Linked DNA regions of Xenopus tropicalis. The protein of the gene in region 1 interacts with the protein of each later gene in a biochemical or structural test. Links are inferred from orthologs where the notes say so. Each region holds a gene or a part of one and is shown in the gene's direction. Other genes may lie near its edges.

What was found. The genes of interacting proteins can lie anywhere in the genome.
Region 2: the proteins of gabarapl1 (region 1) and tbc1d2b form a complex in vitro, tested with the Homo sapiens proteins (2 studies listed by BioGRID and IntAct). The link is inferred for Xenopus tropicalis from reciprocal best matches to the Homo sapiens genes GABARAPL1 and TBC1D2B.

What each region holds. Positions count from the first base shown.
Region 1 is NC_030683.2:18,816,628-18,825,477, reverse strand, and holds the start of gabarapl1 (gamma-aminobutyric acid receptor-associated protein-like 1), read left to right. Parts: upstream 1-4,431; 5' UTR 4,432-4,514; coding exon 4,515-4,604; intron 4,605-8,850. UniProt on the Homo sapiens protein: Ubiquitin-like modifier that increases cell-surface expression of kappa-type opioid receptor through facilitating anterograde intracellular trafficking of the receptor. Involved in formation of autophagosomal vacuoles.
Region 2 is NC_030679.2:91,181,010-91,188,493, forward strand, and holds the end of tbc1d2b (TBC1 domain family member 2B), read left to right. Parts: intron 1-321; coding exon 322-507; intron 508-3,549; coding exon 3,550-3,671; intron 3,672-4,989; coding exon 4,990-5,185; 3' UTR 5,186-5,352; downstream 5,353-7,484. UniProt on the Homo sapiens protein: GTPase-activating protein that plays a role in the early steps of endocytosis.

The sequences.
Region 1 (8,850 bases):
TTAAGAACTGCAGCTATAGAGTGTTATTATTTCTATTATTGGCTGCAGAATCTTATAGGGCCCAGTGCATTGTGGGTTCCCATTTCCCATGACTGCACGGCTATCACTTGCCTGTTTGCATGAATGAGTTTTGCATGTTTCCTACTAATGGATTTATAAAATTTCTTATTTTTGTAAGAAGATTTCATGCTATGGGTGTATAGAGAGCCGTAAGTAACATTTGACCCCTATGTATCTCGACTAATTGCACTAATCGGACAAATCACGACTGCAATTTCATCCTGCGGAGTAGTCACCACGACTTTTTGGAAAGTTGCGGCGACTAATCGCCCTGTCTGTCTTCGCCCTTAGGGAGAAGACACACAGAGATACCAGTAGCAGCTACTTATCACAGCTACTAAAATAGACAATGCTGATCATTTACTGATAATTGTCTCTATGTGTGTTTTAGCAGAGGCAATTCTCAGTATTGTCTATGGCAGGGGATTTTGTGGAGTTTAGTAGCCGTGACAAGTAGCTGCTACTAAATAGCTCAGTGTGTCTTTACCCTTCATCTTGTTCAAACAACTGCCTGGTTGCTAGGGGAAATTGCAACATAGCAACTAGAACACTTCTAAATACCAAACTGAAGAACTGCTGAACAAAACTTTAAATAACTGAAAAGCCATAAAAAATGAAGACCAATTGCACATTGTCTTAGAATACCAATGTCTGCATCATACAAAAAGTTAATTTAAAGGTGAACTACCCTTTAAATAACCATCAGCCCTGAACTGGGATTCAAAATAGTCTCGGGCATTTCAAGTACACAGAGGCCCAAACAGCCCCCCCCAGCCCAATAAATAGTGACTGTCTATGGCACCTTACAGCAGCCCCTCTGGCATTTGCCTGAACCCACAGATTGCCAGTCTGGGCCTGATAACCATTGTATTCTAAACAGCTTATCTATAAACAAGCAAATATGAGCCCTAAGTTCCTACTGGATTCATAATATAAATGATAGTTCAACATTATATTGAACCCTTTCATTGCAGTAACAGCAGGTACAGTATGCTGCCAGTTCCGTATCCATATACCAACGTGCTAGTATATAGTAAATAGCAATATTCTCTCAGCGCCTGAGTTATTGGCTCCATAAGCACAGCTAATGAAATAACATATATTTTGTACCTCCTTCTGTGCCAAGACGCTGCAGCTGATGAATTGTCTTACAGCCTATAGGAAATTACTGTGTCGTAACTGCCAGCTGTACTAGGGAATTATTTCAATAAAATGACCAATGCATGGATGTAATTCAGTTTTGCTGTGAGAAATTCTCAGTGCCTGTTCTGCAAACTGCCTGCATTGAATAATAGCCTATATGCCAGCCTGTCATGGGTACTAGGTAGGGAATGCTGCAGCGATGGAAAAACCAACCAAGCCAGAAAATGTTCCATGTTTCAAAATGATGGAGATTAGTTTGTGTAATTTTCTGTGATTTCAGAAGTTCAAGCCCCATTTGCTTCTGACACCTTTAAATCTGGGCTCCTATACAATACACATGCTGCAGGGCTGATTATTGACTGGTTCAGCAAATGCTCGATTGATGGAAAGTGTAGTCATCACTGCAGGGATATATAGACATCTTTCCATTTTGCAGGGTTTGTTTTTTAAAGGAAAAGGTGGCAGTTAGAGCCAAGTACCCCGAGCCCTGCAGAGCAGCAGTAGCAGATAGGAAGAGAAGGGGGATAGAAGGCAAAATGGAAAGAACTGGATAAGATAGTGGCATTAAACTGTTATATCTGGGCCCTACAGCTGTTGTTGGAGCACATCTCTCAGCAGCTACTGACAGCAAAGGGTTAAATACCCATAAATCATGTGAGCATTGTAGGCAGTCCTGTTGGAGAAGAGGGCAGTTATGTTACGTATGTGTTTGCATGGAGGAAACTGGCAGATGGGGATATTTGTCTGCATTCCCTCCTCTGTACATTCCCAGCCTGTATCTCTGGTGTCCTTGTTAGCAAATGAGAGAGGTGAGCCCTTTGCTCCGCCCCTGCCTGCACTGCAATGAGAGGGGAGGGGCTCCTTTTTATTGTTGGGCTGATGTTAACCCATTCAGTCAAAAGCTTTATTTTACCAATTATGAATGGCCCTGTAACTACTGACAAACGCAATTCACAAACATCTAGATCTAGAATTTTTTATATAGTATTCTTGTCCTCTTCAATGTCGTATACATATATATATATATATATATATATATATATATATATATATATATATATTTTAGATGTTGTTTTGAATAAACACCTTTTGTTTCACCATATATATATATACAGTATATATGGGATTATGTAATGTAAGGCACTATATTGGCCCAGGAGCTAGCAATCAGTTGGTAGAATTTACTGGTCACCTGTTTAAAAGCTCTTATTGATTGCTATGGGTTACGGTTACTGGGCAACAGTAGTGCCTTTTATTACATATGGGGGATACAGTCTAGAAAGTAGGTTCATATACAGTATGGCTGGTTTATTTGCTCTTCTGAATTATATTCATGTCAGTTATATTATTTCAGAACAACAAATAAGCCAGCCCGTTGTATGGGAACCTACTATCTAGTCTACAGGAGGAGTATGAGATTTTGACATGATTTGTGGACCCAGGATTGGATGGGTACAAGGTATGGGATCCATTATCCAGAAACCCATTTTCCTGAAAGCTATGAATTACGGGAGGCAAAACAATCCTACTAATGTTTAAATTATTGTTTAGTAGGCTTTAATGGGTTTAGTATGATGTGGAAGGCAATATTCTAAGACAATCTGCAATTGGTCTTTATTTTTTATCATTTATGTTTTTTTATGTATTTTACTTTTATGTCCAGCAACTTCCCAGTTTGGAATTTCAGTAGCTATCTGGTTGCTAAGGTCCAAATTAACATAGCAACCAGGCAGTGATTTGAACGAGAGACGGGAATTTGAATGGGAAAGGGTCCTGAATAAAAGACAAGTAATAAAAAGTAACAATAACAATACAACTGTAGCCTTACAGAGCAATAGTTTTTGGCTGCCGGGGTCAGTGACCCCCATTTGAAAGCTGGAGAGAGGCAGAAGAGGAGAAATAATTAAAAAACTATAAGAAATAAAAAATGAAGACAATTTGAAAGTTTGCTAAGAGCTACCCCTTTAAGACTTCTGTCACAGAGAGGAAGTTAAAGGGGATTTCCACCCCTAAAATAGTTTTTTGCATAATGAAAAACAATCCAAATTTCCAGTGCACATTCTGTGATTTTCAAGTTATTTGTAAAGGAAATTTCAGCTAAAAGCTGTGTTTGTTTATCTCTTTCTGTTCTCTGGTTCTGACTCTTGAAACAATGTAGCAGGAGTCAGTTCTCCTCCAGGTCTGCTAATCAGTCGGCTTCTGTTATTGTGTTACCACAGTCAGAACCAGCAGTGCAGAAAAGGTATAAGTCAGTGGTTCTTAACCGTCATAATGCCGCGACCCTTTAATACAGTTCCTCATGTTGTGGTGACCCCCAACCATAAAATGATTCCTAACCCCTGTGAAAGGGTCCTTCGACCCCCAAAGGGGTCCCGACCCACAGGTTGAGAACCGCTGGTTTATCTTTTCCTGTTCTCTGGTTCTGAAACAATGTAGCAGGAGTCAGTTCTCCTCCAGGTCTGCTAATCAGTCGGCTTCTGTTATTTTGTTACGACAGTCAGAACCAGCAGTGCAGAAAGGGTATAAGTCAGTGGTTCTCAACCTTCCTCATGTTGTGGTGACCCCCAACCATAAAATTATTCCTAACACCATCAGAAATATGTGTTTTCTGATGTTCTTAGGCGACCCCTGTGAAAGGGTTGTTCGACCCCCAAAGGGGTCCCGACCCACAGGTTGAGAAGCGCTGGTATAAGTGAAAGTGTGGCTCGGCGCCAGGGAATAGATTATGGGCTACAGATCAATGGCCGGAAGTGGTTATACAGGGACTTTGGCCGCTCTCTGACGCAGGTTAATAATGAGGCCCAGGTCCCTGGCCAGTCGCAGGTTAATAGTGTTATGTACCGCAGTGCTGTACTGTTGTGTCACCTTGCCTTGTGACTCTGGCTTTCACGTGATCCACAGAGAATAAACAGGTGACTCAGACAAACAGGTTTGCGTGTCAATCACTTGCCATGCCCTGTGCCACTGCCTATTTACTATATCTCATCCTGGCCTGCACCCTTCCCACTAACCCCCACCCTAAAAACCCTGGAATATGATTTCAGCGCCTGCGAGCTATAGGGTTCTTTAAACTGAGACTGTTTATTTTTCATTTGTCCTGTCTGGCAGAGAGAAGGTTAATTTCAGCATCCCCCTTTGTTTTGTTCTGCTGGTACTGCCCAGGGGCGGGGCTTAGTGATGTCACATTGCCCTTGCTCAGTACACTGTAACATAGCTTGTTATTGCATCTGCTGAGCAGTAGACAGCGAGGGGCATCAGCTGACTGATATATACATTTATATACTGTATATACACTATCTCCTGGGGCAGCCATGAAATTCCAGTATAAGGAGGATCATCCTTTCGAATACAGGAAGAAGGAGGGCGAGAAGATCAGAAAGAAATACCCGGATAGGGTGCCTGTAAGTAGGGACAGCAGAGCTGTGTCATCTCCCTATGGATCCCACTCTCCATCCCTTGTATCCCTTGTATCTCTCTCCTACCCACACTGTATCCCTGTCCTACCTACACTGTATCCCTTGTATCCCTGTCCTACCCACTCTGTATCCCTTGTATCCCTGTCCTACCCACACTGTATCCCTTGTATCCCTGTCCTACCCACTCTGTATCCCTTGTATCCCTGTCCTACCCACACTGTATCCCTTGTATCCCTGTCCTACCCACGCTGTATCCCTTGTATCCCTGTCCTACCCACTCTGTATCCCTTGTATCCCTGTCCTACCCACTCTGTATCCCTTGTATCCCTGTCCTACCCACGCTGTATCCCTTGTATCCCTGTCCTACCCACGCTGTATCCCTTGTATCCCTGTCCTACCCACGCTGTATCCCTTGTATCCCTGTCCTACCCACTCTGTATCCCTTGTATCCCTGTCCTACCCACTCTGTATCCCTTGTATCCCTGTCCTACCCACACTGCATCTGTACAGCACCCTAATGTCCCCCTGTCAGCACAGATATGGGTTCCCTTAGAGTGAATTCCGACCCAAAAACTGCTTATTGCACAATGAAAGACAATGTAATTCCAAGCGACTTTCCCATGTACATTTGTTATAGTATTTCGGTGTTCGATGTCATTGCTATGGGAAGTACCGTCTGTTCCTATTCTCTGAACTCCTCCTGTGACAATGGAACAATGTAGCAGCCCCTGGGCGGGCAGGACTTCTGCTACATTGTTTCAACTCTGGAAAGGAAGCGGCAGAAAGGGAGAAATTAATGTTAATTTCAACGGCAATTACACTAAGTACAAACCATTAAAATGGAATGTACATTGGAAAGCTGCTTAGAATGACATTTGCTATCAGTGTGCGTAAAACAGGTTTTGGGTGGAGTTCCCCTTTAATTCCTTGGCTTTCTGCTGACGGCACAGAGCTTTGTAGTTGTGCTGTTCCTTCGGTAGGGAGCTTTGTGCTCTCTGCCAGACTTCCTATGGGCCGCAGTCATTGTTAGAGACATCTGTAAGAAAGAAAGCCACTCATTGTCACCTGCCCCTCCTCCGATTCCTGGTCTGTCACCTTCTGCTGCCACTGAAACATGTACTGTCTGTTGCTATGGACTGTCACTGCCACTGCTGCAAAGCCATTGGCTGTCAGCTGCCCCCACTGCAGAGCCACTGACTGTCACCTGCTGCCTTTTCCTTGGCTCATACACTGCCCCCCCCCCCCTGCTATAGATCTGTAGCTTTATACCCCCCTCCCAGGCTACAGCTCCTCATTATATCAGTCCCAGCAGTGCGAGTCCTGCATGTCACTTTCCCTTGGTGCAGAACATTGTCCTGTCTAGTTACTTATTGACTGTCACTTTCCCTAACCGCAGAGCTTGCAGAACCATGTACTGTCACTTATGTAAGCTCTACGGGGCAGGGACCTCCTTCCCACTGTGTCTCATACCACATGGCACTTATATATATATATATATATATATATTGTATTTATTTATTATATCACTTGTCCTCCCTGTGTGTAATTGTGTATATTGTAAGATTTTACAGCGCTGCGTACCCTTGTGGCGCTTTATAAATAAAGTTATACATACATACATACATACTCTGGCTGCAGAGCCTTGTCCTGCCTTGCAAGCGACTATACACACTCGGAGCTACTAGTAGCAGCTACTTTTTCACGGCTCATTAAATGATCAGCATTGTCTAATTTAGTAGCCAAGACAAGTAGCTGCTACTAGTAGTTCTGTGTGTCTTCACCCTAAGAAGGATTTATCTCAAGGTGGGGAGGCATAGGCCTTTCTACAATGCCCATGTTTGTCTTCTTCTCCCAGGGTAAATACATTAGTAATACTAGTCATCAGGGACAGACCTTCTCCTGCTCCCCCCCTGTATATAATAATTACGTTATTGTCCGGTCCCCTGGTCATAAACTGTTATTCACAAGAGCTATGAATATCTTGTAACTGATATCCTTATAAACAGTGCTTAGTGATGTCATTAGTTATAAACGGTGCTCAGTGATGTCATTTGTGTTACATGCAGGGTCGGACTGGGCTGGCAGGACAAAAACGTGGTGGGCCCCACTGGCCCAGAACTGATCCCTGCTGGGCTCTCCGAGGCCCGCAGGTCCCCCTCTCCCAATGTGCCTAAGTATGCACGCGTGGGGGAGGGGGTTGGGTGGGCAGCAGGGGCCCGAGGGTGATGGGGACCATGGTGGAGGTCCCTTGGGGGGGGGGTGCAGAGCCCCCGCGGTGACTTGTCTTACAATTTTGAGTTCCCTGACCTGTATAAAAGTGCTCAGCCTGTGTCCTTGTGCGTTTATATGGCTATGGGTCTCATATGTAACTGTTAATATCCTTGTAATACACAAGAACCATGAGTTTCCTTTAACATATATCCTTATAAACAGTGCTTAATGATGTCTTTGGCCTTGTGTTTTTATATGGTCAAAGTGACTTATAATATCCTTATATTTGTATCTTTCATATAACCAAGAGCTTTAATGTGGATTCTATAAAATGTTAATATTTATACATTATAGAAGAGATTGCAGGGCTAATTAGTAATCTATCCCCCATATGTTATACAAGGCACTAAGTTTCCCCAGGAGCAGTAATAGCAACCAGGAGGTTGAGTTTACTGGTCATGTGTTTAAAAGCAAACATCTTATTGGTTGCCATGGGTTACTGCTCCCGGGCAAACGTAGTGCCTTTTATTACATATGGGGGTAAATATGGTAGTGTTGTAAAGGGCAACTAAAATATCCATATAGTTATTTAAGCCATAGAGCTGCTGTACTTGCACTTACATACGGCAGCACCGGACACCGTAACATACAATATGCTCTGCCTCCTCCCCTTATGTCTCTTCCTTTTGTGCCCGTCTGTACATACCATATTAATGGTGCCCAGTAGGCATATCTCAGTGGCACCACCAGCTGATGGAGACTGCAGTCTGTGTGACTAGTGTGTGTTACTGGCAAATAGGTGCTACAGGGCAACCCGGGCCTTTCCTCCTCTACTGCCTGCACTGCAATGAGAGGGGAGGTGTTTGCTTGCGCTGTAGTTAACCCTTTCAGTACTTGGCTGCTGCAGTCCAGGCCGTTATTATGCTACAGATGCCAGTATATATTATATATATATATACATGTTATTTATTGGGCATGATAAGTCACTGCCTGCTTGTTTTACACATTCCCCTCCTGTGTTCAACATAATTACATCATTGTAGATTTATTATTCTCCTTTATGAAAAACATTTATTTGGAGTGACAGGATTCTCATGTACTAATATAACAAATCAACCATTATGCATACAAATTATCGATATATTTATAATATATCACTATATTTATTAAGGCAGTCTGGTGTAAACTATAATTTTTTTATACCTACGCAGCTATAGTATAGGATGCATAAGTAAATTGTCTCCCTCTCGTATTTGATGATGCAGACTTCCAGGCATTCTGACTTTAAAGGGGAAGTTCACCTAAAATGTAATTTGTTGTTGTATGTTGAAGCTTTTTAGTTCTGCCTTTCCCCAAGCACTATATCTTTTTCTATCATTTATTTATATATATATATATATACAAAATGCAGAATGAAGAGCACACCAAAGTTAAAATGCACTACCTGGGTGCCAGAGCAGCAGACATGGAATAGAAAATACAGAATGTCGGCACTCACAGGATTTTCACGAAAAATAGTCACTAGCAGTCAGTCATGTTTTAGAGATGCAATCAAGTGGAGTTTATTAATCCAACGTTTCAGTTCCCTACTGGAACCTTCGTCAGGGAAGCACATTGCATCTCTAAAACATGACTGACTGCTAGTGACTATTTTTCGTGAAAATCCTGTGAGTGCCGACATTCTGTATTTTCTATATATATATATATATATATAAATGCTCCAGAAGAAATCGGGAAGTCACGGCGAAAGGATCGGAGACAACAACCGCAACGGAAAGTTCGCAACAGATAGTATTTAACCTTTCTTCAGTTGAACTAACGCCATTACAAATACAGGTGTTAGAACGGGGCTTAAACTTTTGTCCTACATCACAGTTAGATTCTTTTCAGTTACAGGTGGATTTGTATCGTTTTTTTCGAGCATTAAGACTCAAAGTACATTTCACTCATAATATGACATATAATGAAGCTGAAAATACCGAATGTGGTTTTGATATTAGCAAGGTTGGCTTAAGATCAC
Region 2 (7,484 bases), on another chromosome or scaffold:
TCCTGAAAGTACCATCCCCTTGTCTAACAGTTGAATCAATGCAAATCACATTACTCGGGTGATTCAGCTTAATCATAGGGAAATGCCTTCTTTCCATTTTCCCATGCTGAAGCTGCTGAGTTATGTGATTTACTTGCTGCAATTCAAATGTTATAGAAGGGGATGGTATTCTGGAGGTTTGTCATCTGTGGTAGCGCAGATTTACCATGAGGTGACAAATCTCCTTGTCTGCCATCACCCTTACATGTGATTTTCTGGTTGTGCAGACATAAAAAATTTGGCAGTAGTTAAGGTACCAATGTTTTTTCCTCTTGCATATAGGTTGATCAGCGTGTGTTCAAGGACTTGATGAATGAGAAGTTGCCTCGTCTCTGTGCTCACTTTGAGCAGTATAAAGTGGATTACACTTTGATTACATTTAATTGGTTCCTTGTGGTGTTTGTGGACAGTGTGGTCAGTGACATCTTGTTCAGGATATGGGACTCCTTACTGTATGAGGGTTCAAAGGTAAGGATTAAATCTGGTCTAAACTGTCCCCTAAATTCTTGCTCAAAAATGTTATAATGTTCTCTGCCTACGTGGCGTTTTGATTACTGGGGTGTTATTTCTGAGAATAGTGGTGATGAAAATGCTGTATACTGTTGGCAGCTGCCGTCACTTTTGCCAAATGGGAAGCTGTTTAATGACAAACCATAGTCTAATTAAAAGTTAATGCTGACTTCTGTATTTTTAAGTGATTCTTGGTTAAAGGATAAAGTAAGCCTTATATTTAAAATCCCCTAAAATTATTCTAAACAGCCCCCATAATAACATACCTTTCTCCCTGCATGCAGATTTATTTTGTTTCTCTATTGTAGTTTTTAGTTACTTCTTTGTGTAGTATGAAGCTCCAACCCTTTTGCAATCAGTCAGGCATGCCCAGTAGGCACCTCTTTGAGGTCATCATAGTTGGAGAGTGAAGGGAGTGCTCAGAAGGTGAAAGGGGTCAAAAAGGCAGTAATAAAAAGCAAAAAAAATAAGGCTGGAGAAAGGTATTTTGTTCTAGGGGCTGTACAGAGTAACTTTAGAGATTAAAAAAAGGTTTGCTTCTTTAATACAGTGTTTATATAGGGTGTTATATATAGTGGATAACATACAGGCACAAATAGAAGGGTAGGGGCATTGGCCCTTAAAGGGGACATATGTAAAAAACAAGAATGTGCCATTGCATTATACAGATATAGAAGGGATGTTATACAAAGAAAAGAGGGGTGTGCTTTGTGCTGCTATACTATATATAATGGTACTAAATACTAGTACTATAACTACTGCTATACTAATTTCCCCCAAAACTGTACTAGCACCACCCATCTGTTCCTCTTCCCACTGGCTGCTTTCCCAGAGTGTGCAGAAGAGCCAGCAGCGCTTTGCACTTTAGGATGCCAGCCAATCAGCAGCTAGGCAGACCTGATGGTTTACTTGCAGTCTGCTTGTGTGAATACAGATCTAACCTTGCACCATATAGTATTCATTATTGCCTTTGAGATTAGGGGTATTTTAATTTAAACTATGGGGCCCATTTACTATCGTTCATATTTTTATGAATTATGGATTTTTAAAATGCTTTTGAAAAATTTTACGTTTATGTGTTCTTTTCATTTTCGTTCTGCATTTTAATTCTTTTGTGTTTTTTATATTTGGATCTTTTAATAAATGACTAAACATTCATGGTTTTGATAAATGGGCTAAGGGCTCTGGCACACGGGGAGATTAGTCGTCCGCGACAAATCTCCCTGTTCGCGGGCGACTAATCTCCCCAAAATACCATCCCACTGACGAAAATGTAAATCGCCGGTGGGATGGCATACGCGGCGGCGCGGTTTCAGTGAAAGTTGCCTTGAGAGGACGACTAATCTCCCCATGTGCCAGAGCCCTAAGACTGAACCAGATAATGTTGTAGTGCTCCAAAAGGTAGGATCTGAGTTTGAGATTAAAATTTAGAGATGGCATTCCATAGGTTAGGAGCAGTGAGATAGAACCGTTAAAGACAAAGGATGGCAGTTGGTGTGAGTGGTGTAAAAGAACTGTGGTTCAGAGAGTAACAGGTGAAGAAATGCAGGGAGAAGCAAAAGGCTTTGAATGTCAGCAGAAAGATTTTGTATGCTGTATTTTGCTCAACAGGCAGCCCCTCAGGGGCTGTAAGGAGAGAGCAGAAGGATTCTAGCAGCAAAGTTTTAGATCGATTGCATTGTGGTGGGAGACCAGGTAGTACAGGAATGAAATCCATTATCCGGTAAGCTCAGAATTACAGGAAGGGTATTTCCCACAGACCCAATTTTAATCAAATAATTAAATTATTTAAAAATTATTTTCTTTTTTTTAATTTTGTAAAACAACCTTGTACTGATTCTGAGATATAAGTAATTTAGAGGCAAAAGAATCCTGTTCCATTTATTTAATGTTAAAGTGATTTTTTTTTTTTTAGTAGACTTAAGGTATGCAGATCCAGAATATATAAATATCCCTTATCTGTAAAGCCCCAGGCATTCTCAAGCATTCTGGATAACATGTTCCATACATGTAGTACAGGTATGGGATCCCTTATCTGGAAACCTGTTATCCAGAAAGTTCCGAAAAGTCTGTCTCCCATAGACTCCATTATAAGCAAATCATTCAAATTTTTAAAAATGATTTCCCTGTAATAATAAAACAGTACCTTGTACTTGATCACAACTAAGATATAATTAATCCTTATTGGAGGCAAAACAATCCTATTGGGTTTATTCAATATTTAAATGATTTTTAGCAGACTTAAGTTATGGAGATCCTTATCTGGAAGAACCCAGGTCCTGAGCATTCTGGATAATAGGTCCCATACCTGTACTTTGCAATAGTATACTAAATAAATCAGTCATTATTGTACCACTGCAATAGACTAATTAAACTTCTGATGTTGTTCATGGCACGATTGTGACTTAATAAGTAAATAAGCTAAGCAGTGTTCAGTGGAGTAATGTATGCAAGTGGCTGCCTATGAGAGTAACATGGTTTTTTTATGTAGTTTGCCACCGAGACCTACATTGTATTTGACTGTGTAAGATGCCCTTTTGTTTATGGATGTCACTGTTTCTTTAACATTGCTAGACCGCATTATACATTTCAAACTACATTTTTTGTCTTCTAAGGCTATAATGACCTTGATGATACCTCAGATTTCCCATGTATCCTGTGTAAAAGTAACCACACATTGACTTTCTGTTCTGCTTTCTGAAATGAGTCCAGTTGTATTTTCAGCTTTGTATTGAGCAGAGGTGGCTATTAGCCTGTGTTAACTCTGCCATAAAGCAAGATAGGGCTTATGCTGTTTGCCATAAAGGAAATAGAAATAGTGACGAGTAACAAAATTGATTCCTCCATACAAACATAAAAAGTAAAATGAATCTGTTCAGAAATAATCAAAAACATTTTCTTTAAATCTACATTATTTGACACAATATTTCACATTTTTTCAAAAGTAAACACTTTTAATTGTCTCAACAGTATTCCTTTTTACCTCTCCTCTAAACCTAGGTGATTTTCCGCTTTGCTTTGGGATTATTTAAGTACAAAGAAGAGGAGATACTAAAGCTACAAGATTCAATGTCCATTTTTAAGTACTTGCGCTATTTTAGCCGGACAATCCTTGATGCACGGTAAGTATCTAAACTAGTTACTGCCATCTCTAGTGAAACTTGTCCTGTTATTTAAAGTCAACCAAGTAGTAGAGGTGCACACCCGCTCAGCCCCATCTTCTTGGTCCCCCCACCTTGGTCCGCATTGCTATTACTGCAGTGGAATGCAATGATTAAAGTGTACCTTTTTTGCCAATGTCTGTTTATAAGGGGTTCTTCTCTGGATAAAATGGTTATTTACAAACGTGTTTTTGCATCTGTTGGCAATATAAACTGTTCCTAGTGCAAAACAGTGTAATGTAATGTCAGACTTCCATGGAGTACCTAGGTGGCACTCCTGGCATATACTGTTGAAAACTGATTCTGCTGTACCATTCTACAGTGCAAGACATGAATCTGATCATAGAGTAACGAATTCTACACAGTGTGATGTTTCTAAATGACCCCAGTGAGTTTTCAGATACAACTTGATTTATCTGCGCACCTAGATTTTCCATGCCTTTTATAACAGACATATATTTATTATTGGTATAATTGGTAGCATTTATTTTCATATACAACATACAGTACTGCTGTCTCAATAATGATAGGTCATAAACATTCATATTGTACATATAGTTCACATGGAGTGTGATTTGCCTTTGATGACATGCTGCACTAGGTGCAGAGCAGAGGGAAGGTGGCTCTGCCTGAACATCATTGAGATTAACATTTAGAGTGAATAAATTGCCTTTTGTTTGTATTCAGGGTAACTGCATAGTCTGTATTTTGTATACCTATAACCTTGTAATATGCTAAGGTAGACTAAAGAAATGTTGGGCTGCAAGTGAAGACTTACCCATCAGCTGTAGACCCCAAATTACAACAGAGCTTTGAAAATGATGCCTGAAAATGTTATTGCATTCTGTATCCAAATGAATGATGGCTAGAATCTTCGCATAACTGTGCCACAAAAAATGGATTATTCCCAGGATTTTAATATGAGAAAAATAAAGGCTTACTGCATAGCAAGCGAGAGCTGATTAATATAAATGGATCTACAAACACAGCCAGTATGGTCAGCGCTATTTTTAAGATGACTTATTTAAATCATATTGGACTATGCTAATTCAATAAAATCAATGGTAGTTAGTAGAGTTGCATACATTGCCTACATTCCTTGTGCAATTGTACTAGTTTAGAATTTCACTGGATTTCACACAGCATACAAATGAGTAAAAACACAACACAGGACATAGTATTTCTGTACTTGAATACATCCGTAGGACTTTTACGTTGGTCATCTTACTTAATCTACTCTGTATAGCTGAGATACTTGAATTGTTTGCTTATATTTCAGAAAGCTCTGTAATATTGCATTTGTCGACATGAATCCATTCCCTCTGCGCCAGATCCGCAACAGACGCACTTACCATTTGGAAAAAGTTCGCCTAGAGCTGTCAGAGCTGGAAGCAATTCGTGCAGACTTTATACGCGAGCGGGAGACCAACCCTGAGAGGCGCGACCTTATAAGCGACGATGAAGAGGACAGTTAAGCAATTAGTGCATGAATGAGATTTCTCTCCCTATCTGTGTATTCCTGACAAGGATTTGGTAATAACTGAGCATATTTCCAAGAGACATGCTACTGCTCCCAGAGGGCTTCTTGACAAGTAAATCTGATGCTTCACACAAGTGTTAAAAACACATTTAAAAAAAAAAACTGGAAAATGCTACGTGATTTTTTTTCTCTTCAAAATCAGTATTCAACATGTCATTAGAAAGCAGCCTAAATTGACTCTGGACTCAATTCTTTGTTTTGAATGTACTCTTAATTATGGGATATCCAGAACACAGCACATATACAGGTATCGGACCCCTTATCCGGAAACCCGTTATCCAGAAAGCTCCGAATTACGGAATGTCCGTCTCCCATAGACTCCATTTTAATCAAATAATTCAGAATTTTAAAACTGATTTCCTTTTTCTATGTAGAAATAAAACAGAACCTTGTAATTGATTCCAACTAAGATATAATTAATCCTTATTGGATGCAAAACAATCCTATTGGGTTTAATTAATGTTTTATTGATTTTTTAGTAGACTTAAGGTATGGAGATCCAAATTACGGAAAGACCCCTTATCCGGAATACCCTTGGTCCCGAGCATTCTGGATAATGGGTCCTATACCTGTACCATGAAAATAATGTTTATGTTTCCAGTCTGAGCAAGTTCAAAATATTCTGTTAGCACCTTTGTCACCTGCATATACACACATAGGGGCACATTTACTAATCCTCGAATCCAAATCCCGAATGGGAAAAAAACGGATTGGAAACGAAAATTTTGCGATTTTTTTTTTTCCGTCGCCGCCGCGATTGTTTTGTATTTGTCGCGACTTTTTTGGCGCTGTTGCGACTTTATCGTATTTTGCGCGATTATTTCGTCACCGTCGCAATTTTTTCGTATTGTGCTATAGTAAATGGCGGAAAAACCAATCCGAATTTTTTGCGACGGCGACGAAAAAGTCGTAACGGCGACGAAAAAGTCGCAAAAATACTAGTCATTATGAAAAAACCGCATTCGGACGCTTTCGGACGGTCGTGGATTAGTAAATGTGCCCCATAGTCTTCAGAAACACAGCGCTTTTAAATAATAATACATTTTAATCACTTGTGCAATCAAGGAATTTAGTAAGTAATGGGATTTTTGTTACTGTCATATATTAACCCTCTTTTCTTTTAAAACGTTCAAAATGTTACCTTTATATACATCATTCTTTTTGCATGCCCTGGTTAAACAGTATGTATATGAACTTTTTTTCTTAAATTCTTATAAGTCCAGGTCAGTTAAGCAGTGAGTATTTAAGCAGTATTATATAAACATATTTTTTATGTGCCCAAGCTGAAGATTTTACATGAAATCCCGTCATTAAAACCTGATTATTCTGACCGCCTGAACAACAGTAAGCTGGCACAAGGGAGTATTTAGTTATTTTATTACGACAGTGCATGTGAAAGGGAGAATTATTGTATATTGGTACTTAAAATGACATGAAACCATGTCAGTCACTTTTGCTCCACTTTGAAATCTGTGAAATGCAGAAGGAGAACACAGAGAAAAGGGAGCATGTTTTTTTGTTTTTCACATGGTTAGGTGTTGCATTCACATTGGACCAAAAGGCTAGTGAGAATAAAGATATTAATGGCTTACAGTATTGATAAGAATGTTTGCACCTATGGATGACATTGTTTGTTAAAATGAAAGAGTCCAGTAATCGCCTCTTTTTATTGACTCTCTACATAAACTTTATGTAAATTAACCACTGTTCCAAGTGCCTTTGAACACTTTGAAGATTGATCCATTGTGGGTCATATGTTCTGACACCACTGAAGATTAATTCATATATTTTTCACAAAATGCTGGATAATTATCCCTTTTTATATTACTTTTTGGCTTTAATTTTTCCACTTCTTAAGTATTGTGGTATGAATGATCTTTTTGTTTGTGAAAGAGTTGCTATGAACATTTTTGCTGCCAGAATAGCTGAGAGTGTGAATTTGGACGACAGCTACACATGGAGTGTGTACATGGGTTAACTGTTTTGAATATAAACATATCAGTACATATAAACACAGATATGGTCACTGTACTCATGTGTTTTTTATGCATTTCCCAGCTCAATTATTAACTAGAATGTAATGTCTAATGCTGGAAAATTGTGCCTTCTTCATTTAGGAAAATGCTTAAATAATACATTGGATTAACAAGTTTGAATAAATGCTTGTGAGTATTTCTCAACTTATTTTACTTCATATTGCACAATTTTTTATACATATAGAGTGAGTTGAAGTG